Neurospora crassa OR74A: one gene and its partner. The protein of the gene in region 1 interacts with the protein of each later gene in a pairwise test. Links are inferred from orthologs where the notes say so. Each region holds a gene or a part of one and is shown on either strand. Other genes may lie near its edges.

What was found.
Region 2: the proteins of uvs-2 (region 1) and mus-41 interact in a two-hybrid assay, tested with the Saccharomyces cerevisiae proteins (4 studies listed by BioGRID). The link is inferred for Neurospora crassa OR74A from reciprocal best matches to the Saccharomyces cerevisiae genes RAD18 and RAD5.

Annotation. Positions count from the first base shown.
Region 1 is NC_026504.1:5,736,376-5,747,229, forward strand, and holds uvs-2 (postreplication repair E3 ubiquitin-protein ligase rad-18), read left to right. Parts: upstream 1-5,608; 5' UTR 5,609-5,784; coding exon 5,785-6,331; intron 6,332-6,400; coding exon 6,401-7,359; 3' UTR 7,360-7,418; downstream 7,419-10,854. Other genes in the region: NCU05211 (hypothetical protein), read right to left, coding at 1-4,387, 4,478-4,568, 4,621-4,799; NCU05209 (hypothetical protein), read right to left, coding at 7,574-8,442, 8,507-8,702; NCU05208 (hypothetical protein), read left to right, coding at 9,227-9,316, 9,408-9,555, 9,702-10,854. UniProt on the Saccharomyces cerevisiae protein: E3 RING-finger protein, member of the UBC2/RAD6 epistasis group. Associates to the E2 ubiquitin conjugating enzyme UBC2/RAD6 to form the UBC2-RAD18 ubiquitin ligase complex involved in postreplicative repair (PRR) of damaged DNA.
Region 2 is NC_026503.1:33,171-44,456, forward strand, and holds mus-41 (DNA repair protein rad-5), read left to right. Parts: upstream 1-4,521; 5' UTR 4,522-4,707; coding exon 4,708-6,481; intron 6,482-6,549; coding exon 6,550-8,377; intron 8,378-8,452; coding exon 8,453-8,537; 3' UTR 8,538-8,707; downstream 8,708-11,286. Other genes in the region: NCU09518 (glucooligosaccharide oxidase), read right to left, coding at 1-226, 280-820, 882-1,360; NCU09517 (hypothetical protein), read right to left, coding at 2,672-3,638, 3,725-3,903. UniProt on the Saccharomyces cerevisiae protein: Probable helicase, member of the UBC2/RAD6 epistasis group. Functions with the DNA repair protein RAD18 in error-free postreplication DNA repair.

The DNA of each region.
Region 1 (10,854 bases):
AACTCCATCCTCCCTCCTTCCTCATCCTCTCCCTCGCCTCCCGATCCCTACACACCTCCTCCTCCGTCAACCGATCCTGCCCTTCCCAATTCGCGCTGCTCGTCCTGGCCCTGAACCGATGATGTCTGCTCTTGTCCTTGCTAAACACCTCCTCCATGTTCAGCGGAGCAGGAGGTCCAAAGATGACCATCGGGTCGAGCTGCTCTTGTGCCAAAAGTTGAGCCTTGAGGTAAGGGCTGTCGGTCCAGTTGCCACCATTCAGCGAAGAGCGCAAATTGGGGTTGGAGGTGGATGGACGGGGCGTGTCGACCCCGTCTTCGTCGTCCGTTTGGATCTCAGGGAGCTCGATGGAGTCGCCGGCGGCGATGGCGGCGAGGCGGGGGGAGGTGCGGGTGGGTTTGGTGGCGGATGTGAGAGCCAGGGCGCGGGCGGCAGTAGCACCCGGACGCGCTGGGGTTTGGAGCGGATGGCGGGACGATCCGGCCTGAGCAGCAGCGGAAGGACCAGCGCCGTTGGGGTTGGAGGCAAAGGGGATCTGGTTGCCCTTTTGGAATTGGGCCGTGTCCAGTGCGTGACCCGTCTTGATTTGGTTGACGGTGGTCTTCTTGAAGAGGTCGACTGTCCTTGAGGGAGGGGGAGGGGCGTGCGGTACGTTGGTATAGTTGGAGGCGAAAATCGACTTGCCTGTCGTGGTAGTAGTCGACAAATCCTTCTTGAACCCAACCGAGGGTTGTCTAACGGCTGCCGACGGCCTCACACCCGAAGGCCGGACCGCAGAAGGCCGGACGGGTGCCCCCCTGATGCTCCTCTGCTGCTTGGTGTTACCCTCAGCCATCTCGATATCCGCATCAAAGTCCTCAGACACGCGAATCCGCTTCGAATCCTGATGGGCCTCTTGCACCTGCGTCAACGGACGCTTGGAAGCCGCCTTGCCCAGCACAGCATTGACTGGTCGGCTATCGTGCAGCGCCGGCCCAAGACGAGAATTAGGTCTCGAAGGTTGCCTGCTCTCCGCCAAGTGATCCGGAGGACCGTTAGGCTGGGACCTTGGCGGCGGGGGCGGCGCACGGGTCCGTTTGGCTTGCTCAATCGCGGCCTTCTTAGCTGCCGCAGCTTGCTTGCGCTGCTCTTCCTCCTTCATCTCAGCCCTCTTGCGCTCATTTTCCGCCTTCTGATCACGCCTGCGCTGGATCTCGCGCTCCTCTTGCTCCTTTTGTTTGGCCGCCAGCTCCAACGCTTTGGGCCGCCCGACAGTCAAAGAATAAGACCCCTTAAGACTCTGCAGGGAAGGCTTCTTGGTGAGCGATGACGTGCTGGCCTTGCTTACAAGTTGCTGCCTTCCGTGCGACTGACCGAGGCTCTCCTGGCTGGTGGTGCTGAGAACACTGTTGGTCGAAGTGTGGAACGCTCCCTGCTGGGAGCTGGTGGTGTTGACGCGGATGCGAGTCGGGGCGGGCTTGGCCCTCGTCAAGGCCTCCTTCGTGGGTCTGATAGGTCGCTTGATACCCGTGCCACGGGAGGCTTGAGCAGATGGAGGTCGAGGAATTGACTGAGGTGCCTTTGTGGAGATAGTAACGTCTCCCATGTCGACATCGGCTTCCTCCTTTTCGGCTTCACCCTGCTTGGCTCCTCTGCGAAGACTAGTCCGAGTAGCTTTCTTGGGGCTCTTGGGTGCCGATTTGAAAGGTCCTGGTGTCTCGAACAACTGCTTGGACTGCGGTCGTGCCTTGGTAAGCTTGTGTTGTTGTTCCTGCTCCCTCTGTTCAGCAGCGCGTCTCTCCATCTCCGCCTGTCTCTCTTGTTCTTGTTGGAAGAGACGGGCCTTTTCCGCTTCCTTCTCGCGCATCTTCTCCAGCTTCTCATTCTGCTTGGCATATGTCTTGGCATATTGCTTGGCCTCCTTCTCTTCCCTCTTCTTTTCCTTCTCCCTTTCCTCTGCCTCCTTTCGTTCCCTCTCGGTCGACGCTCGGGTTTTTCTCGTGGGTCGGATGGGGGTGGCGGCTACGGGGGCTTCGGCCTGTGCATGGTGAGATAGATCAGGATAGACGACATTATCGGCTGTCTTGAAGGAAGCTTCGGATAAACTGGGATGTTCTTCCAGTCGAGCAGTTGAGGGAGTCGTGAAGAGCCCCGTCAGTTTTGCTTCGGCATTTGAATGTGCACTGGTTGGGAGAAGTCCCTTGGATGATTTCATAAGGGACGAAAACTTGTTCTTGACCCTCTCCAGCGTGTTCTCGCGGAATGCCTTGGAGGGGGACTTGAAGGGCGAAGGAGGTTCGTGCGCTGGCATTTCGGGGAGGTTGGAAGTAGAGACAGATGCCTCTTTCTTGGGGCTGGCGGTTTTTGGCACGGGAGGCTCGTGCAAACTGGGTAGCGTGGGAACAGAAGCCGATTTGACATGTGTTGTTGAGGAAGACGCAGCAGGTGGTTCCTGGATGATGGGCGCTTTACTTGGTGACTCGTGCCTGTTCTCCATGAAGGATTCTCCAAGGGTCGGAGATGCCTCCCTTGCGAATAAGTTCATTCCTTCCATTGGCTGACTTAACCGTGTGTCTTTGCGCGCGTTCCACACCATGGGGGTAGACATATCCGCTCCCTTGCTAGGAGGTCCAATCCAGTCGTCATCATCGTCCAGCGGGAATGCTCCCGGTGTGGGAAATGCCCTGGGAGTAACCACGGGTGGCTTCTTGGGTGAGGATCTGGTGGGCTCCGGAACGGGCTGTGTCGTCGGTGCCTGTGAAGTGGATGCGTGTTGTTGCGTCGGCAAGAGGTGGGCTATCGATTTCGATGGTCTCGGTCCCATTGACTGTCCCTTGCCCAACATGTTGATCTGATCCTGCAATCGCTGCGTGTATGATTTGGCAGTCCTGGGTTCCTGGGTATGATCATCATCAATGTCCATCTCATCGTCGTCATCATCGAAATCCTGTCGGGTAGTATGGCCAAGACTCTTTCCTCCCGTCTGGCGATGGTAGAAGGAGGTTCGCGTTACGTCGACGTGGCTCGTCCTCGACATCCTAGTACCGAGGCTCTTCTTAGAGGTCATCGGCTCGCGTGCGGGAAGTGATGCAAAGTTCAGACTGCTCAGGCGCTTAACCGGGCTAATGGGGCTGGAGGCTTCCATGGACGAGTTGGCGTCATCGTCCACCTTGTCGTCCGCCTGGTCGTCCGCATGATCCTTCTCTGACTGGGCGTGTACAAAGGGCGCCGGAGTCTTGGGTTGCTGTTCAGTGACTGGCTCTGTCTCTGGCGATCTCTTTTTTGGTGACAGGACGGGAGCGCTATCCACAGGTGATTCCTCCTTTTCAAGCTCCGGAGTCTTTTCGGGGGAGGGAATCTTCTCTGGTGAAGGATCCTTCTGGGGAGAGGCCACCTTGACCGGGGAAACCCTCTTCTCGGGGGAAAGGCGCTTTTCTGGCGATGCGAGCTTCTGAGGCGAGGCAGCCTTTTGGGGGGAGGGCGCATGGATAGACCTGGTGGGCGACGGAATGAGCATGTGGACTGGGCTGCTAGACCTAATCACATCAGGCTCGGGCGAAAGAAGTCGAGGGTATTGAACGGTAGGCTCAACAGGTTCTTCTGAAGGTGTTGTGGTTCGTAGTAGTTCGGCCGTCTCCTGTGGTGCGGGACTGGCGTGCTGCTCCGGCTCGGTGGGGGCTGGCTGAACCCCCAGATCCTGTGACTCTATCTCCTGCTGCTCTGGTTCCTCCTGCGTCGGTTCCTGGTTGAGCTCATTTGACGGCTGTATTGATTCCTCTGTCTGCTCCTGTGTGGGCTCTTGTGGAGGTTGTTGTTGTGGTAGCTCCTGCGCCGACTGCTGAGTGAGTTCCATGGTCGGCTCGTGTGCTGATTCTCCCATATCGACATCGACATCGACATCGGCATTGGCATTGGCATCGGCAACCTTTCCGACCTCGTCCACATCCATAATATCCAGCTGTTGACTGCCATAGTATCCAGAATCAGAGGGCTTGACCGGGGTAGGCGACTTGGAAAGAATTGGTAGGGGGGAGCCATTGAGATGTTTGATTGGGCTTCTGACTTTGGACGGGGTAGCGGCAACTGGCTTTGCTGGACTTGCGGGTGGTGGTCGCATGGGCGTGGTGTTGTTTGGCCTGACTGGGCTCGGTTGTCGTGATGGCGCGGCAACGCTCTTGACTGGGCTTGGCGACTTTGCGGCAGCTGATTTTCGCGGGCTCGCACGGCGCGTCGAGGGAGTCGTGGGATTCTTGGGGACATCATCGGCTTCGTCATCAGCTTCGACGTCGGCTTCCGGCGTATCGGGCCTGATCTTGGGCGTCCATGACGAGTTGTTCGCGGGCGGCGCGAGGACGAAGGGATTAGGTGTCACACCCTTGGGCGTCGCTGAGAAGATGCTGGCCAAGGGCTGCTGTGGGTTAGAACAAAATCAATCAATCAATCAATCACTCTTGGTCGCCCGTCGCAGAAGAATGATGGACGCTGTCTGGATGCTTACCACTCTCACTTCGGTATTGGGCCCTTTGCGAATTGTCCGCGGTGTCTTGCCTCGTGGTCGTGCTGGCGTTTTGAAGATTTCGGCAATGTTCCTGTTCCTGGTCAGCGAGACAAAGAGAGGGAAATAAAACAAAGACAACGCACATTTGGTTCTCGCCCAAGAAAATGTCCTCCATGTGCTCGTTCAGCCAGTCCATCTCATTGCGCGCCGCATACGAGAACTCTTCGACTTCCTCCTCTGCCACCTTGAGCGCCGATGCGCGCTCTTCTGCAACCCACGCTGCCGAGCCGACGGGCAGACGTGGTGCCTTGCGCATCGCCATTTTTGCTGTTTGTTTACTTTGGCGCCAAAAGTCAACAAACCGGATTTGGGGATGTGGGGAAAGCTCTAAAAAAAAAAAAAACCCCCAAGCAATGATCGGAAAAGAAAGGAATGGCAACAAGTGAGATGTTCAAAGCATTGGTATGATTAGTTGGTCAAAGAAAGGGAGGGAGGTGGGCGACGAGGCTGGCGATGTGGTATAATGGTGGTTGTCGGAGGGATGACGGGATTGCGTCGATCGAGTCAAAGCAACAAAGAGAAAGTCAAAGTCAAACAAACCAAGTAAAAAGCGAGGGATCGGAGACCTGACCTGACCTGACCTGGGATGGAGTTCCTGTTGCCGGAGCAAATTCCCTTGTCTTGGTTTCAATTGTTAGTACCCAATCCGCTCCAGTCTTTGTTTTGGTTGATGCCCAAAAGGGAATAGTCTGGGCTGAGGGGAGCGAAGAGGTGGGGCTTCTGTTTCCACTGCACTGTTGCAGCGCTTTTGTGCCTGGAAACTGAAGGCCCCAGAACACACCCCCGCTGCACGCCTTCCCGTCGCCAATTCACGTGCAGGCCCTGTCATTACCGTATCGTGGGCACAATCAATACCGTCATGGAGAGATCAAAGGTCTGCAAGTAAGAGGTTGGCCACAAAGAGCTGTAAATGTTGAATAATGGCAGTGCAGATGTTCAGAGAGCCATGTTTAACTTGAAACAAAAACACCAACTGAAAGAGCAATTCCCAGGGAAAAGATCCCGAGTGCTAGATACCCGGGTCACTCTTCGGTATTCTTGCTGACCCTCGGCCAGTTTGTGTAAATACAGTGTAATGGAATTCTCCTCCTCGACAAAGTCGCGACCAGTCTCGTCCGACTTGCAGACATCGCGTCTCACATCTTCCGTCTCTTCTACAATACTACTTCCAGGCTTCCAGGTAGAACGAAGGCAGCCATCACCACCAACAAAGTACTCGGATACCCTTCAGTACAACCGACATTATCATGGACGTCTTTGGCGATGAAGCCTTCAACGTCCCCGACTCGACCGACTGGCTGGGCACGCCCCTCGCATGCCTGATGCCCGTCGAACAGGCTTTCCGCTGTCACGTATGCAAGGACTTTTACGACTCTCCCATGCTCACATCCTGCAATCACACCTTTTGCTCCTTGTGCATCCGAAGATGTCTGTCCGTCGACAGCAAGTGCCCGCTCTGTCGCGCCACCGACCAGGAATCCAAGCTCAGAGGCAACTGGGCTTTGCGCGAAGCCGTAGAAGCCTTCAAGAACTCCCGCAAAGTCCTTCTCGAGTTTGCTAGGACACCACCGACCATTCAGGCGATACTGCCAGACCAAGCAGGCCCCAGTTCGCCATCAAAACGAAAGGCGACCGAAATGGAGGGGCCAAAAGAGGAGGACCCAGAAAGCAAGAGGCCGAGGAGGTCAACCAGATCAACAAGAGCCCGAGCCGCCGAGTTGACAGCGGCAATACTACAAGAAGAGCAAGACACCACACCTTCAGCCGACCCGGATTACGTCGACCAACCACCCGGTTCGTTTCCCTCCTCCCGCTCCTCGTGGGTTGCTTCTATCATCATCATCATCACTGACCTCCCACCAGACGACGGCCTAGTAGCCTGCCCCATCTGCCTCACCCGCATGAAGGAACAGCAAGTCGACCGCCACCTCGACACCTCTTGTCCCGGTTCTCCCCAGGCCGCATCCAAACGACGACCGATCCCCGCTCAAACACCACAGCCATCGACCTTTCCATCCTTCAACACCCGCCTCACATCTCAAACCAACCAAAAACCACCCGAACGCCTCCCCGCCCTAGCCTACTCCATGCTGCGCGACACCGCCCTGCGCAAGAAACTCTCCGAACTCGGCCTCTCCACCCACGGTTCTCGCCAGCTCTTGGAGAAGCGCCACAAGGAGTGGATCACGCTTTGGAACGCCAACTGCGACTCTTCGCGACCCAAAAAGCGGTCCGAGTTACTTCGCGATCTAGACGAATGGGAACGGACAGTAGGGAATCCCGGCACAGCAGCAGGAGGAGGAGGGGGGCAGCAGGGACTCGGACTCATGGCGAGGGCGCAAGCTACTGGAGCGCAGATCAAGGACAAGGAGTTCGATGGCAAAGCTTGGGCAACTCGGTATGGAGGGAGTTTTGGGGATTTGATCAAGCAGGCCCGGCAGGGGATTAAGAGGCAGACTTTGGATGGTAATGGGGAGAAGGCGGATACCAAGGGTGGGGGTGGGGGTGAGGATGTTGGCCCAGCTGAACTTCCGACACTACAAGCGAGAGAGGGGGAAAGCAGTGCAGCGCCAACACGGATGGATATTGTCCCGCCATCAAGTCCACCACGACCGGGGCAGGTGGATGACGCGGATACAGAACACGACGGGCAAGCTCCTGGAAAGGATGCTATAGCAGAGGATACCGCCATGAGGGAACAAGTCATTCCCGGGACTCCAGACAAGGAACGGCAGTGGGAGACGTCACAGCAGCAGCAGCCACCAATACCTGGGGATGCTCAACTGAGTGGGATGAAGAAGCCAAATCCAGAGACATGTTAAGGCCGATGGATATATTATGACAGGCACTCTTTTCTCCTACTTTACTAATTTACCCTGTGTTCTGTATGACATTTGTAGTCCATCCGGACTAGACCCACTTAACCTCTACACTAAAACCCACCCCACCCCCAGAAGACCCACATTTCTGTGGGCCGGGTCCGCTGAAGGATGTCGACGGGGGGTAAAAGTGATAGAGACTACTTACCACAGGAACCTAGTGACACCTACCCCCAACGTAAACATCGCCCCCAGGATACGACTCCCCCTTCACCCCGCCTCTCAACTCCTCTCCCATGCCCGCCCCCTTCAAAATTCCCTCCTGCCGCTTCACCTCCCTCACCACCCTCTCCGGATACAAGACCAAAAACCCCGCCATCACCACCCCCATCGGCACCCCATCAAACACATAGACAAACCACTCATGACTTGCCACCACCCCGTCCGTTCCCCCCAAATACTCGGCCCCGCGCACCACACTCCTGACAACCAACATAGCCCCCGCCACCTCCATCACACCAAAATACCACAGCCATCTCACCCCAGGGTCCATCAGCATTGCCCGTGACCTGGTCGGGTTGCGGTGCAGGCGCACGTGTAGGCGGCCGCAGGTGAAGAGGAAGATACCCAGCGCGAGGAGCTGGACGCACAGGCCGATTAGGACAATGATCTTGCTCAGGCGTTGCGCCGACTCGGTGCCGCTTGCGGGGAGGACGGTGCCGATGAGCTGGGTGAAGATTGCGGCCACGTCGGCGAGGACGTAGAGCCGCGTCGGGGAGCAGGTGCAGAAGCTGTTGGTTGGTTGGCAATGGGCGGTTAGTGACGGGGGGTCGGGGAAATAGATGATGATGGGGCGGTACCAGGAGTAACAGCATCGGGCGCAGCAGCCGCGGTTGTTACGGCGCCCGTGGTTGGGTTTGGAGGTGCCCTCGAGGAGCGCCGTGGAGATGCGGCCGTAGGACATGTATAGGGAGGCGGCGAGGAGGGGAGGGGCGACGAGGAGGAGCATGTTCTGCAGCAGCCAGGGGTCGAGCTTTGTGGGGTCGGAGTGGGCGTAACTGCGTTCGAGGTAGCCGAAGACGAGGCCTGGTTGTTTGGGGGTTGGATGGTCAGGGAGATTGCGAGGTGGAAGAGACAGGAGAAGGCTTACAGATGCCACCGAGGATGAGGGGAATGCATCCCCACGCCCGGAGCCAGACAAAGTAGACGAGGTGCGCGAGGGTGGCCAAGGCGAACAAGGCGAGAAAGAGGTGCGCGGCAACGTTGCTGGGTCGGTATTCCCAAAAGACCACCACCATGGTCCCGTTGACCACAGGGCCGAAGGGCGGGCCATCGTTAAGCGTCATTGAGTTGGGGAGGGTAGTAGAGATGCCAGGTTTGGGAGTAGACGGAAAGGGATATCAAAAGCTGCTGCTAGCCCTTTGCTTGATAACGGAACACATGACCAACACAACAAATACAGGGCAAGTCATTCCTCGAGGGGGGTTATATACCGTCGAGAGACAGGTGAATCGCATTACTTTCAGTGCTGATCAAGATCTGAACAGACGGTACCCTGGCATTCCATTTGGATGCTCACAGCCCCCTCAGACGAAACTGCGTCGTGGGCTGTGGGGCGGGCGACTTACACGAGATGTGGATTCACGGGCTTCCCTTTTATTCGGCTTTGATTTTTCGCACTTGGATCCGAAAAATTCACAGCCAACCATCCATTACACCTCAATGTCAACTTACTGTAGCCTCCTTTCGCAGACGCCGCAGCTCCATTCAAGGGCTTCCCTTTATTCGGGTTTTATTTTTCGCACTTTGATCCGAAAAATCAATTCACACCCAATCTCAACTTACTGTGCTCTAGCCACCTTTCGCAGAAATGGCGGCGTCGTCATCGACCAGAAAGTCCATTCAACCTCACCGCAAATCACGCACCGGCTGTAGCTCTTGTAAACGCCGCAAAGTCAAGGTCAGTTTTTCACCCGTTACCTACACAACACACAAAGATGCTTCTCGCCTTTTACAAGCGCCGTTTCTCGACTCTTGCTGACCTCCCTCAGTGCGACGAAGAGAAGCCATGTAGCAATTGCATCCGCTTCGGCCTGCCCTGCAATCTCGTCCCAGAAAATGCCCATTTCGAACATGGTATTGTAGGACCTGCCGCTCCGACTCGACGAGGTCGGGGGCGGCCTCGGAAGAACTGGGCAGGTGAGTCAAACAGTGTGTGCGAGCCTTTGGGCTTCACTCCAAGCATTTTTTTTTCCCTGTCTTTTTCCTCCATGTCTCTTCTTCCATTTCATGCCCTTTTCTTTCCATGTCTTTCTTCTTTCCACGCCAGCTAACTCTCCGCTCAGATCCCCCACACTCCCAAAGCACACCATCCACCACCCCAACCTCCCCCCTCGACGACCCAACACCCCTCAACCAGCGGGCCTGTGTCCCGACGACGACGACAATCGACCTCAATATTACCCAAGCCGAACTCCTCCTCCACTTCACCACCACCACCGCCCCCTCCATCGGCGGCTGCGACAAGCACCCGCACCACCTCGCCTTCTGGACGCGCAACGCCCTGCACATCGGCCTCGCCCACCCCTTCGTCCTGCACCTCCTCCTCGCCGACACGGCGTTCCACCTCGCCTACCTGACAGCCACCCATCACCATGAGCAAGAAGAAGTGTTGCTGTTGCCTCCGCGCCGTAGCCATAGCGAATATCTCGCCCTCGCGCAGCAGCACCTGACGGAGGGGGTGTCGGGGTTCGCGGCAGAGCTTGCGCGGCCGGGGGAGGGGAATTGTGGGGCGCTGTATCTGGGCGCGGTGCTACTTTGTTTTTGCACGTTTGCGGATGGGCCGAGGGGGGACGGAGATTTGCTGGTGTGCAGTGTTGATGGGGATGGAGATGGAGATGAAGGGTGTGGTTTGGAAGAGGTCGGGGGTGGTGGTGTGAGCATGCCGTTCGTGTACGGCGTGCGGCTCATGCACCAGACTTTTCGTCCAGAGGTGTTGTTCGCCGGTTTGATGGAGCCGTTGGGGAGGGATCTGCCGCCGTCGCCTTTGGATACGCCCGTTTACGTAAGGGATGGGTTCCCGCGGGTGGAGTGGGAAGAGCAGTTGGATGGGCTACGGGAGTTTGTTGTGGCCAGGGCACAAGAAGGCGGCGCACCCAATGAAGGAGAACTCTCCAGGACGACAGCAGCCGTCGCCGTCCACGCCCTCGACAATCTCATCGGGATATACGCAGCAATATACGGGCGCCGCGGGCCAGACGGCGAGATCAGAGATGACGGCCCGCCTCACAACCAGTTCGTGTTTGGCTGGTTGTACCGTGTCGAGCCCGAGTTTGCGGCGTGCGTGAGGAGGTGCGACCCCAGCGCCCTGTTGGTCCTGGCGCACTATGCCGTGCTGCTGAATAGGCAGACGACTCCATCTGGCTGGTTTCTCAAAGGTTGGAAGGAGCACATTATTGCGAGGGTTGGCGTGCTTTTGGGGGAGAGTGAGACCAGCAA
Region 2 (11,286 bases), on another chromosome or scaffold:
AAAGGAAGAGGTATTCCGGGGCGCGATAGGCGTAAGAGCTCGTGTAGTTGGCGGAATTGGTGGTGGAGGAGGTGATGGCGGACTTGGGACCGCCGTGCATGTCGATGATGATGAACCAGTCGCGCGAGACGCGCTTGGCGGTGTTGATCCAGTAGTTGGCGACGGAGTTCAGAGCCGCGGAAGGGAGGGCGGTGGTAACGAGGGATTTGGAGTAGAAGGTTTCGACCTGGCAAAAAATTAGTTGCTGGAGAAGAAAGAAAGAAACGAGAGGGAACCTACGGTGTTGTAAGGATGCGTAACGTCCACCGTGCCGCCATAGGTATAATAAGTAAACGCTCCCATCCAGTCGTACTGCTGCGCATTGCTCAAGCTCGCTCCTAGAGTGCTCAACAGGGGCTGCACAGCCGTCCGCAGCGCCGAGCTACTCCCGTGATACAAGCCCTGCAGTTGCGTCTGACTCGGCGAGCCGAAGACCCTCATGTTCATCTCCTTCGGCATATTGCCAGCCGCCAACCAGTCCTGGAGTTTTTCCCAGCCGGATGCAATCGACGACGCTGAGTTCCAGGGCAAGTTAATCTGGAAAGCCGTTACTTGCGAGGGCGCAGCGAAGGTGTTGAACTTGAAGGAAGCCACAATGCCAAAGTTGGACCCAGCGCCACGCAAAGCCCAGAAGAGGTCCGGGTTCTCGGTTGGCGATGCGGTCACTACAGTGCTGTTGGCAAGGACGACTGTGGCGGCGGCAATCCAGTCTACTGCAAGACCGTAGGTGTGCGAGGAAAAGCCAAAGCCGCCGTGGAGGGAGTGGCCTCCTACCCCGACTCTGTTTCCCTCCTTGGTTAGCCCCGGCCAAGCCAAGAAGTAAGGGCTTGACGAAAACGTACCCAGGACAAGTCCCATGCGAGAAAGCTCTTTTGCCCTGTTTATACAGCTCCGTCGCCACATGCCCCAGTCTCGCTCCCGATTGAACATCTGCGATATTCGTCGTCTTATCCAGCGTCACCTTCGACATGCGATCCAACTCCACGACCAGATGCCCGTTCTCTCCGCCCAGACCAAACGAAGCATAACTGTGCCCTCCTGACTTGGGGGTAACTTTAATTCCCAGCTTGGTGGCACAGGAGACGGCACCTTGGATGTGTTCAATGGTGGTAGGGACCGCGATGGCTACTGGCGTGTAGGGCAGGCGCTGGTTGAAAGGGTTGACGTCGGTACGCCACTCGGAGGAGCCTTGAGCATCGGCTGGAACGCCGGCAGATTTGAGGCAGTCGTCGATGGCGGCACGCTTGTTGAGTGGAGAGCTTAGGGGGTTGGCGAGGATGGGGGCCGCCGTGGCAGTGAGGAGGATGAGTGGAAGCCACATGATGGACGAGGTATTGGATCGGAGTAAAAACCTATTTAGTGGGATGGGACGACCAAGTCTGAAGCCTGGCGATGTACGGAAGGCAGCTCAGTAGGGATGATATAGCTTGGTGAGTGCTTCATCTTGTCGAACCGGTCATAAGATACTGGCCTATCGGAGCTGTTTCTGTTCTTTCCCCTTTTGGCACACAAGAGATGTTAAAAAATGGGATGAACATTAGGCCCTTCCAGCTTCCCACGGCTGGACATAATGAATTGCGGGGGTTATAACGCAAGAACACGGCATCAAGCTCCCCGGGGGGTTAGTCACTGAGCCGTCTCGGCGGTCTTTGACCGTGAGGTATTTGATACGGAGAGTTATGTGACTGTAGGGATCCCGTCGAGCCGTTGCGGATTAGAGATTCGGAGGGAGGCAGTGTGTGGAAGTTCGCCAGTGATTGGTCCGGCTAACATATCAGCCTACAGATTGCTTCCTTCACATATGCCAAGATTGATGAACATGTTCAGCAGTCATTCCAAGCTCTTGGCAACTTGGGCTGAATGACGTTGAAACAAAAGTTTGTACGGAATATGGACAAAGGACACGCGTCGGCACCTGTCAATGCGACCCTGCAACCTTGTCGAGGATTCTTGACGAGACCGAGGCGAGGGCGACTAGAACTACTAGCGAAATGCCAGCCCTGTAGTGGAAATCCTTCGGCGGAAGAGCAAGCCGCAGGGCCACTCACTATCTTGAAAACCGATTGCGAACGACGGTCTTTATTCTTGGTGATAGGCCAGAAGTTGGTGGGTGAGCTTGGGGGTGATTGGGCCTGAACGAAGATGGTTTGGGTGTTCGCAGAGGTACAATTATAGGCTAAAATGTAGCCGTTACCCATGTTCCCACTACTCAGGCCCGGCGAGAACACGCCACACGGAACGCTCTTACAAAGTGGTTGCTCTGCCCCAGATTGCAAGCAATATCGGTCTTGGTGATGGATGTTGTGCTTTCAACTACCACCATCTGCAAAGGGGTCATGTGCCTCTCTGTCGTACGATGGTCCTACCGAGACCATGTCAACACTTTGCCTCGAGGACGCTTCGTGCTGTTTCAAAGGGACAAGAAGACCTGGGCCGATGCTGTCGACGATTGCAGACTTTTGCCTATTCATGATAATCGGGCTAAGCGATAGTCACGGAGTGTACGCTCGCGGTCTCGATCGAGATCGATCCTGTGTCGTCACAGACGGTCAGCACCAAGAGTACGATACGTGATGGAAAGAAGAATCTCGATTGTGGCTCGTTGGCCTCGTATACGGCACAAACAGAGGACTCAAATGTGCTGTGTCTTTAGAGCACGCCACAACCTCCAGGGAAGCTTCCAGCTCGCCTTGACTTTGAACGGGTCGAAATCAGCCTTCTCCAACCTTTCCAAGTAATCGGCAGCCGGGACTGCTTCCAACAGCACCCCAAACCCCCTCTTGATATCAGCTTGTGTTGCGTCGACCCCACCGCTGGAGTAGATATGCTCTTGTTCTCCCTCATGCTCATAATCATGGCCCACCTCTTCCCCGGCCTTCAAGTTCTTCAACATCTCCCTCGCCGTTATCAAATGGTCATTGGCCCTTGTAGCCACCTTGAACACGGAATCCTGCAGTCCCTCAGCGTTGGGTCCGTGGCGAAAGACATCTTCTTCTCTGACCCCCACCTCGGCCATCACATCGAGGGGTAGTAGCAGGGCGGGATGCCGGGTGTTGCCCACGCTCCCAGCCGGACCCTGGATGGGCTGCGATGGAGCGGCGAGAACGGGAATGCCGCGTAGTGTGGCTACGATGCCGCACGCCTTGCCGATGTGACTAGCCAGGTGGTCCATATGTACTGATCGCAAAGGCATGGAAGCCAAGGTCACATACATCAGCGTCGCGTACGTATTCTCGGCGTAGTCTTCCAGCGAGTTCAAGCTGACAAAGGGCCTGTTTTCCATGTGTTGCTCGCGCGTGTTGATCAAGCGTAGGAGCCAGAACTTGAGAGAGCTGGCGCTGTTGGGGCCGGCGCGGGCTTTGAGGTCTTGGATGGCTTGGTGGAGGAGGATGGAGATGGGCTCGCGTGGGGGATTGCCGGCAAAGACGCTGTTCACGGTTTCACGCCAAAAGGACATGCGCATGCGTGCGATGGTCGGGTTGGAAACTGTCTCGGGGAGACGGGCAAGTTCGAGGTTCAGGGTACGGAGGGCGTTGTAGGCGTCCCGAGAGGAAGGAGGGACGAATTGTCGGAGGAGAAAAGCTTCGTAGTCACCATGTCTGGGGTGGGGGGAGAAAGAGTTAGCAGAGAAAGAAGGGCAAGTGGGAAGAATGGCTAGGTATGGGGAGGGAAAGCAGAGACAGACTTGAGCTGGTTCTCACAGTACTGACGGGCCTTTTCGACGTCGCCGTCTGTGACTGTCGCGAGGCCTCGTCCGGAGAGGGAAGGCTGCCACGAAGGCCTCTGAGGCTGGAGACGTAGACGGGGCCGTAGAGGTGCCCGCCCCAGGCCATGACAACAACCTGCCGCTCGAGGGGATATCATGATCAAAGAAGCGGTACTGTTTTCCCCGCTGTCACAAAGTGGTTCACATCTCTCACTGTAACAAGAGACAAGACAACCTCGGCAGCAGCGGGGAGGAAGACAAGCCGACGACGACAGGACATGTTGATTTGACAATTCGCTGAGACCATGTTACGCTGCGCCCCTCAGCATCACAAGCGCGGCGCCTCTAAAGCCTTTATGGTTAGCAGCGATGACGGCATTAAATGGCTTCAGTGGCCCAAGCTTCTGGCTTTCCATACAATCCAGTACTGGTTTGCTTGTTAGTTCGAGACCTCGCATCAACTTTCCGATGCGTTTTCATAGCTAATCAATGCGTGATCTTACCATGGATACACCATTTGTAATATTCTGAATGCCATATCAAATAGTACTAATATCTTTTAACCTTTATACCAACTATTTCGATCTCTTCTTAGAGGGTTTAGGACTAATTGGGATAGATTAGGTTTCGTCTAGTGTATAGAGTATGGTACAGTACCTAGTGTACCCAGCTAACAAACAACCCAGCACTGGACTGTACACTGCAGAGGGCGTAATTAATTACCTCTAGGGTGGCGCGCAATCACCTGACAGCGGGAAGGCGGAAACGAATGCACGCCAAAGTTTCACGGTTGCCACGGCACAGTCGCGTCTCACAGGCGCAACACTGAAGTTCACCATTGCAGTTGGTGCATTCGAGTCGGTTGGGTGACAGTAGCTGACTGATACCGTACACCCGTGGTACGACTACCTAGAGGTACTGTACCTACCTTGAACCTAATGGGCTGAACAACCAACACCTGGATGGACCGACACGACACCATGGACTTCACCAACGAGCCTCTCTCCAAGAAGCGCCGGTTCCTGGGCGACCAGGGTGATTCGGACCATGTCGCTGGCGGCCCCAGCTCGTCTCCCCAGTTCAGTGCTCCCCCGAGCTCACCACCCAGGAAGAAACTCCTCCAAGACCCAAACAGTGAAGTCCAGCCACGAGTTTCCAAAGATGCGGACCACAATGACGACGACGACGACGACGACGACGACGACGACGAAGAACGCCCAAGATTCTTCACAGACGATGGCACCCTAACGCCCCACGCCACGAAGATATGTGCTCCCTGGCTCAACGACATGCCCAAACCAGACCCTAGAAAAGGATATCTCTTGAAAGACGTCGATACTCCGATCGCGACACCCCGGGACGTGGCACCCCCAGTGGTCGAGTCCCCCCAGCTGGCCTTCGACAAAGACACATTCGAAGCTTTTGTTGGCGAAAAGGTTGCGTCCGATATCCTCCACGTCATCAGCAAGAACTGCGGCAACAACATCGAAAGAGCCGTCAACATGTACCTGGATGGAACATGGAAAAAGCTGCACCGGGCGCCTCCAGTCAGAGTCAACTCGCATTCGCCCCTGGTTGTAGGAGGTCAGTCTCCCAAGAAATCATCAACATCACAAGCACGGTCCCGGTCGCACGCTCAAGCCCAACCACAGCCGCAATCGAACACACCAACAAAGGTTCTCCCATCAATGCCAGACGCCCGCTACGTCGGCGCATTTGGTGTTGAGGGATGGGCTACCAGAAGCGGGACAGGCCTCCTCAGACACGGTGACAGCGTCAAGATTGAGCGCCAAAAGATCCAACCACCTACCGTTGCAAGAAAAGGGCAGACCAAGCCTGGCACCCCGCAGTCCATACCACGAGTCAGCGCGGCAGCTGCCAAACGTGTCGATGTCATAGTCCGCTTCAACGACGCCAGTGGCAGGGAACTCGGCCGTCTAGCCAAAGACACAGCCAACTGGGTGTCAACGCTAATAGACCAGAACATCTGCAGATTCGAAGGCATCTGTGTTTACGCGCCCGAGCGTCTACGAACGAACGAGACCGTCTTCTTGCAGCTCAAGTGCTACATGCTACGGTCTGCCTTCTTGGGGAGAACCCTCCAACTAGCCGACAATAGGGCTGCCGGGTTCCACGAGAAAGACGAGACAACAGAAGAGAAGGACCTGCGACTGAGACAAGTGGCGCTTGTCAGACTGTTTCAAGAGATCAACATTGTTCCGTCTCGAGGCAACGCCGCTGCCGCCAAGGACGCCAGGAAAGACCTTCTTGAAGCAGCAGATTCGGCCGAGAAGAAGGCGATGGACAAGGCCAAGGCTGGGGACCACAACACTAACGGATTAGCTTCTCCCCCCGAAGAGGCCGAAGAGGGCCAGGAGCTCGAACAAGACCAACTCGACGCGCTGTACAAGAAGGCCCAATCCTTCGACTTTAGCACCCCCGAGGCTGAACCAGCTAATACCTTCGCCATGACCTTGCGTCCCTACCAGAAGCAGTCGCTGTACTGGATGCTGGCCAAGGAGAAGAACCAGCGAACAGAAGACCGTGAAACATCCATGCATCCCCTATGGGAAGAGTACGTGTGGCCGACCAAGGACCATGACGATAAGGACCTACCTGTGGTTCCTGACCAACCTTGCTTCTACGTCAACCCATACTCTGGCGATCTGTCACTGGACTTCCCCAAACAAGAGCAGCATTGTCTTGGTGGAATCTTGGCAGACGAGATGGGACTTGGTGGGTTTGCCTTTTACATTTTTCTTTTCTCTTTGACCTGATATCCAGCTCACAGTCATGTATCACAGGCAAAACCATCCAGATGCTTTCCCTGATCCATTCTCACCGATCCGAAGTAGCCATCAAGGCGCGGGAGGCTGGCCCTACCTCGGTCAACAACCTCCCACGCCTACCAACAGTCTCTGGACAGAAGACGACAATTGACGCTCCGTGCACAACCCTTGTGGTTGCCCCCATGTCCTTGCTGGCGCAATGGCAAAGCGAAGCTGAGAATGCTTCCAAGGAGGGCACGTTCAAGACCATGATGTACTACGGGGCGGAAAAGAATGTCGATCTGGTGACCATGTGCTGCGAAGCCAACGCGGCCAACGCTCCAGATGTGATCATCACCAGCTATGGAGTCGTCCTCTCCGAGTTTACCCAACTCGCCACCAAGAATGGAGACAGACTCAGCAGCCGCGGGCTTTTCTCCCTCAACTTCTTCCGTGTCATTCTGGACGAAGCACATAATATCAAGAACCGCCAAGCTAAGACCTCCCGCGCATGCTACGAAATTGCCGCCGAACACCGCTGGGTCCTCACCGGAACCCCCATTGTCAATCGCCTCGAAGACCTCTTCAGCCTGGTCCGTTTCCTACGCGTTGAGCCATGGAACAATTTTTCCTTCTGGCGGACCTTCATCACCGTCCCCTTTGAGTCCAAGAACTTTGTCCGCGCCTTAGACGTCGTCCAAACCGTCCTCGAACCGCTCGTCATGCGCCGCACCAAAGACATGAAGACCCCGGATGGCCAGTTCCTTGTTCCGCTTCCGCCCAAACACATCGAGATCGTCGACATCGAACTCTCCGAGCCTGAAAGGGCAGTCTACGACTACGTCTTCAACCGCGCCAAGCGAACGCTCTTTGACAATATGCAGGCCGGCACCGTCATGAAGGCGTTTACCTCCATTTTTGCACAGATCTTGCGGCTCCGGCAGTCCTGCTGTCACCCTGTGCTTGTTCGCAACCAGGAGATCCTCGCTGATGAGGAGGAAGCCAATATGGCCGCTGACGTTGCGGCGGGTTTGGCAGACGATATGGATCTCCAAACTCTGATCGAGCGCTTCACCGCCACCACAGACGACGCCTCCAAAACCAACAACAACTTCGGCGCTCACGTTCTTAGACAGATCCGTGACGAAGCAGTCAACGAATGCCCCATCTGCGCCGAAGAACCAATGATCGACCAGGCCGTGACAGGATGCTGGCATTCTGCGTGCAAGAAATGTCTGCTCGACTATATCAAACATCAAACCGACCGTAACGAGGTCCCGCGGTGTTTCCAATGTCGCGAGCACATCAACATCCGCGACATCTTCGAAGTCATCCGCCACGATGATGACCTGGAGACATCCTCTACCCCAGGGGCAAGTCCCGAGCCGCGCATCTCCCTACAACGCGTGGGCGCCAATGACTCCAGCGCCAAAATCGTCGCTCTAATCTCACACCTCCGCACCTTGCGTCAAGAGCACCCCAAAATGAAGTCCCTCGTAATTTCCCAATTCACATCCTTTCTCTCGCTGATATCCTCCGCCCTCACACGTCACAAGATCTCTTTTCTTCGGCTGGATGGGTCCATGTCCCAGAAGGCCCGCGCCGCTGTTCTTACCGAGTTTCAATCCACCAACAAGTTTTGCGTTTTGCTTCTCAGTCTCAAAGCGGGTGGTGTCGGGTTGAACCTGACCAGTGCCAAGAGGGTCTACATGATGGACCCGTGGTGGTCCTTTGCGGTGGAGGCGCAGGCGATTGATCGTGTGCATCGCATGGGGCAAGAGGATGAGGTGAGGGTTTATCGATTTATAGTGAAACAGAGTGTGGAAATGAGGATGTTGCGGGTGCAGGAGAGGAAAAAGTTTATGTGAGTTTGTCCCCGATCAGTGATTTAATGACATTGACTGGAGGTAGGTAAAAGGCTAACCTGATTTGACTGCAGAGCAACATCACTGGGGATGATGTCAGACGAGGAAAAGAAGATGCAGAGGATCGAGGATATCAAGGAGCTGTTGAGCTCAGACTAAGCGTATCGATATGTATGCCGGATGTCAGGGGAAACTGCAATCCAATCCATTTTCGTTGTTAGGCGTCCCGAGGTCCTTTTCTTGCATGCAGCGGCGTCGGTATACTTACCTATCTCGTACATAGGGCCATCTCAGGTCTTCATAGAGCAATAGAATCGCGCATACCAGAGCCCCAATTCTAACGTTGGCACCAAGCAGGTCAAGCGACCCGGAGGTGTAGGTGACTCTACGACTACGGGGAAAGCGTGGAAACTTCTGAGTTTTGGAAATCTGGATGGTCGGGTCGTTATGATTGTCGCCATCAAAGTTGACAAACCAAGGTGCCTTGTTCCTGACATTGTTACTGAAACCTTGGACTTGAAACCTTTGACATTATACCTTGTGTTTACGCTTACTACGCACCCGAGCATCTCCAATATACCTTGAAACTCAATGTTTAGGCAATGCCTGGATAGAGATATCCCAGAGGGACTCTAGCCGTTGTGTTTTCGAGTAGGCTTCAGCGGTACTCCCACACACTGTATTCCAAAATATTCGGTGGGCTTAAAGCCTTGCATTTCGTTGTGCGGACTGGAGACGGGTATGCTTGATGATGTAAATGAGGACATCTTTCTGGAACATGGACCGTAGACGTGGAAAGGGCTGGCACATATGGGCAAGGAAGTTGCTAATGCAATCCACATCAAGAACAGGTTCGATGTACGACATGCATGGCGCCACTGGATAATGAGCCAGGCCGTCAAGGTTCCCTTTCGCTTGAAATTGTTTGGTCAGTGTGCAGCATGCTCATCGATGTCCTTGGAGAAGATCGCTACAGCCGACGAAACGGTAACCAACAAACATATCAGTTAACGAAGAATCTTCCAGCTGGCGTCCAGTGGCGAGCCAAATCCTGCAGCGTTACAGGCGAGGCAATTCCAGCTGTCCACCAGCTTGCTCAGTTACAACCCGCCTGGCCGCCTTCAGTTGCATGCCACTCGGATCAGGCATATCCGGGTCAATCACCCGTCGGCTGCCGTCGTTGGTGGCACGAGCCGCGTGCGTGGCTGGTTGGTTGCCGTTGGCGGACATGGGGACGTCGGTTGCCGTCGGGTGGCTGAAAGAAACATGTTCTGGAATACTTGTTCGCGCGGTGTAACGTTGGGGTCGTGATGTCCTTCGGTCCAAGGACGGAAACAAGACTTGATCGCAAATTTCCAGTATGCCGTCAAGGTCCTCCTCGTAAGTTACGAATCAGGACACGAGCTCGGCTGCAGACGTGTCTCATGCTGGTGGCTCTCATGTGCGTGTCGACAGCGTACGGTATGTACCTTGCAGTCGTCATGAAATTGCGGTGTTTGGTTCGACGGTCGTGGCGGTCCTGCGGCTCTGCGGCTTTTGCGTTTACGTACTAGCAGCTTGCTTGCGCGGCTCGACGCCGACAGCTTGACAAAATATCTGACAACAAGTGAGCAGTTAGCGTCGCATCCAGACCTCTTCGCGTGGTGGAGGATGGGTCCTTTGTTTTGTTAGCCCCTTTTCTTGCCCTGTTGCCATGTCATTTGAGCTGGGATCCATCATCATTACTCGAGGGACATCGGATGTCGTTGATATTCCAAAATTGCGGGTGCTTGCTTGAGCCGAATCACATGGACTTTTTCGAGATTTCTTCGGTTACCCTCGGCTTGAGTTGTCAACCGCATTCTTTTCCCCCTTCTGCTGCACTAACAAAAAAAAAGAAACACAAGGACCTCGCTCGTCGAGCGGCGAGGAAGCCCCCTGAAAGAAATTTGTTCTTTTCCCTGCTCTGGTTTCCTGATTCGTGAAGGTCCTTTGAAGGGAGAGAGAAGAAAAAAAAAAAAAAAGGGTTGGTCGACTCTGCCCTACCGCGCCCTCCCAAGCTGCCAACCGGACAAGGACCCCTCAGCCCGTGCACTCGTTCCTGGCAGGGAGCGTGCAGTCCACACATCAAAGCGGCGTGGGGCCTGAAAATAACGTGCACTAAAAAATTGTTTCAAAAGCCTAACTCGATCCACCAAAAAGGACCCACCTACATTCAGGGTTCCACTCGCGTACCTTTGTGTGGTGCCGTTTCCTGAACTTTTGTCGACGGTGAGGGTCGCGGTGAGACCGGTCGTTGGAGCACCGTAGCAGTGGCAGTAGGGAGACGAGCAGGGAGACGGTGGTCATCTGGTTTGAAGAGTTCTCATATCCCACTTTTGCGATTTTCGATCTCGATCGTGCGTTTCGATTCGTGACGACTTTGTGGGTTCGCTCGTTTCGTCATTTCGAAGTGGAATCTTTTCTTCGATTCCCAGGATGAACGACTGGTCCGAGTTTCCTGCAAGTGTTTGTTGTACATATGTTGGCCTCAATTCGTGTGCACAGATGTAGGTGGTCTCACCTTTTCCATCAACTCGAGGTTTTTGAGCCGCAAGAGCTGCAAGAGCCTCGATGCATAGGTACCTACGTAGGTATCTCTTATTGGACAGCACCAGACTAAACCCTCCCACGGCAAGATCTTCAGCACCTAATGACTTCACGGCTCAAGTCTCAACAGTGTACAGCATCGGGCTGTCTTCCAAAACATGTCGTTGGAAGACTCGACGCCCTCCAAGACTGTGCATCCGGCTGTCTGGACCCGCTAGCCCCGTCACCCCCGGTCACGAACCCCGGCGGCCCAATGTTTCCCTTACGTTTTTGCGGAGGATTTCTCGGCGTGCTCCATCGCTGAGGCCCTGCACAGTCATCGGCCGACTCCGAAATTCCT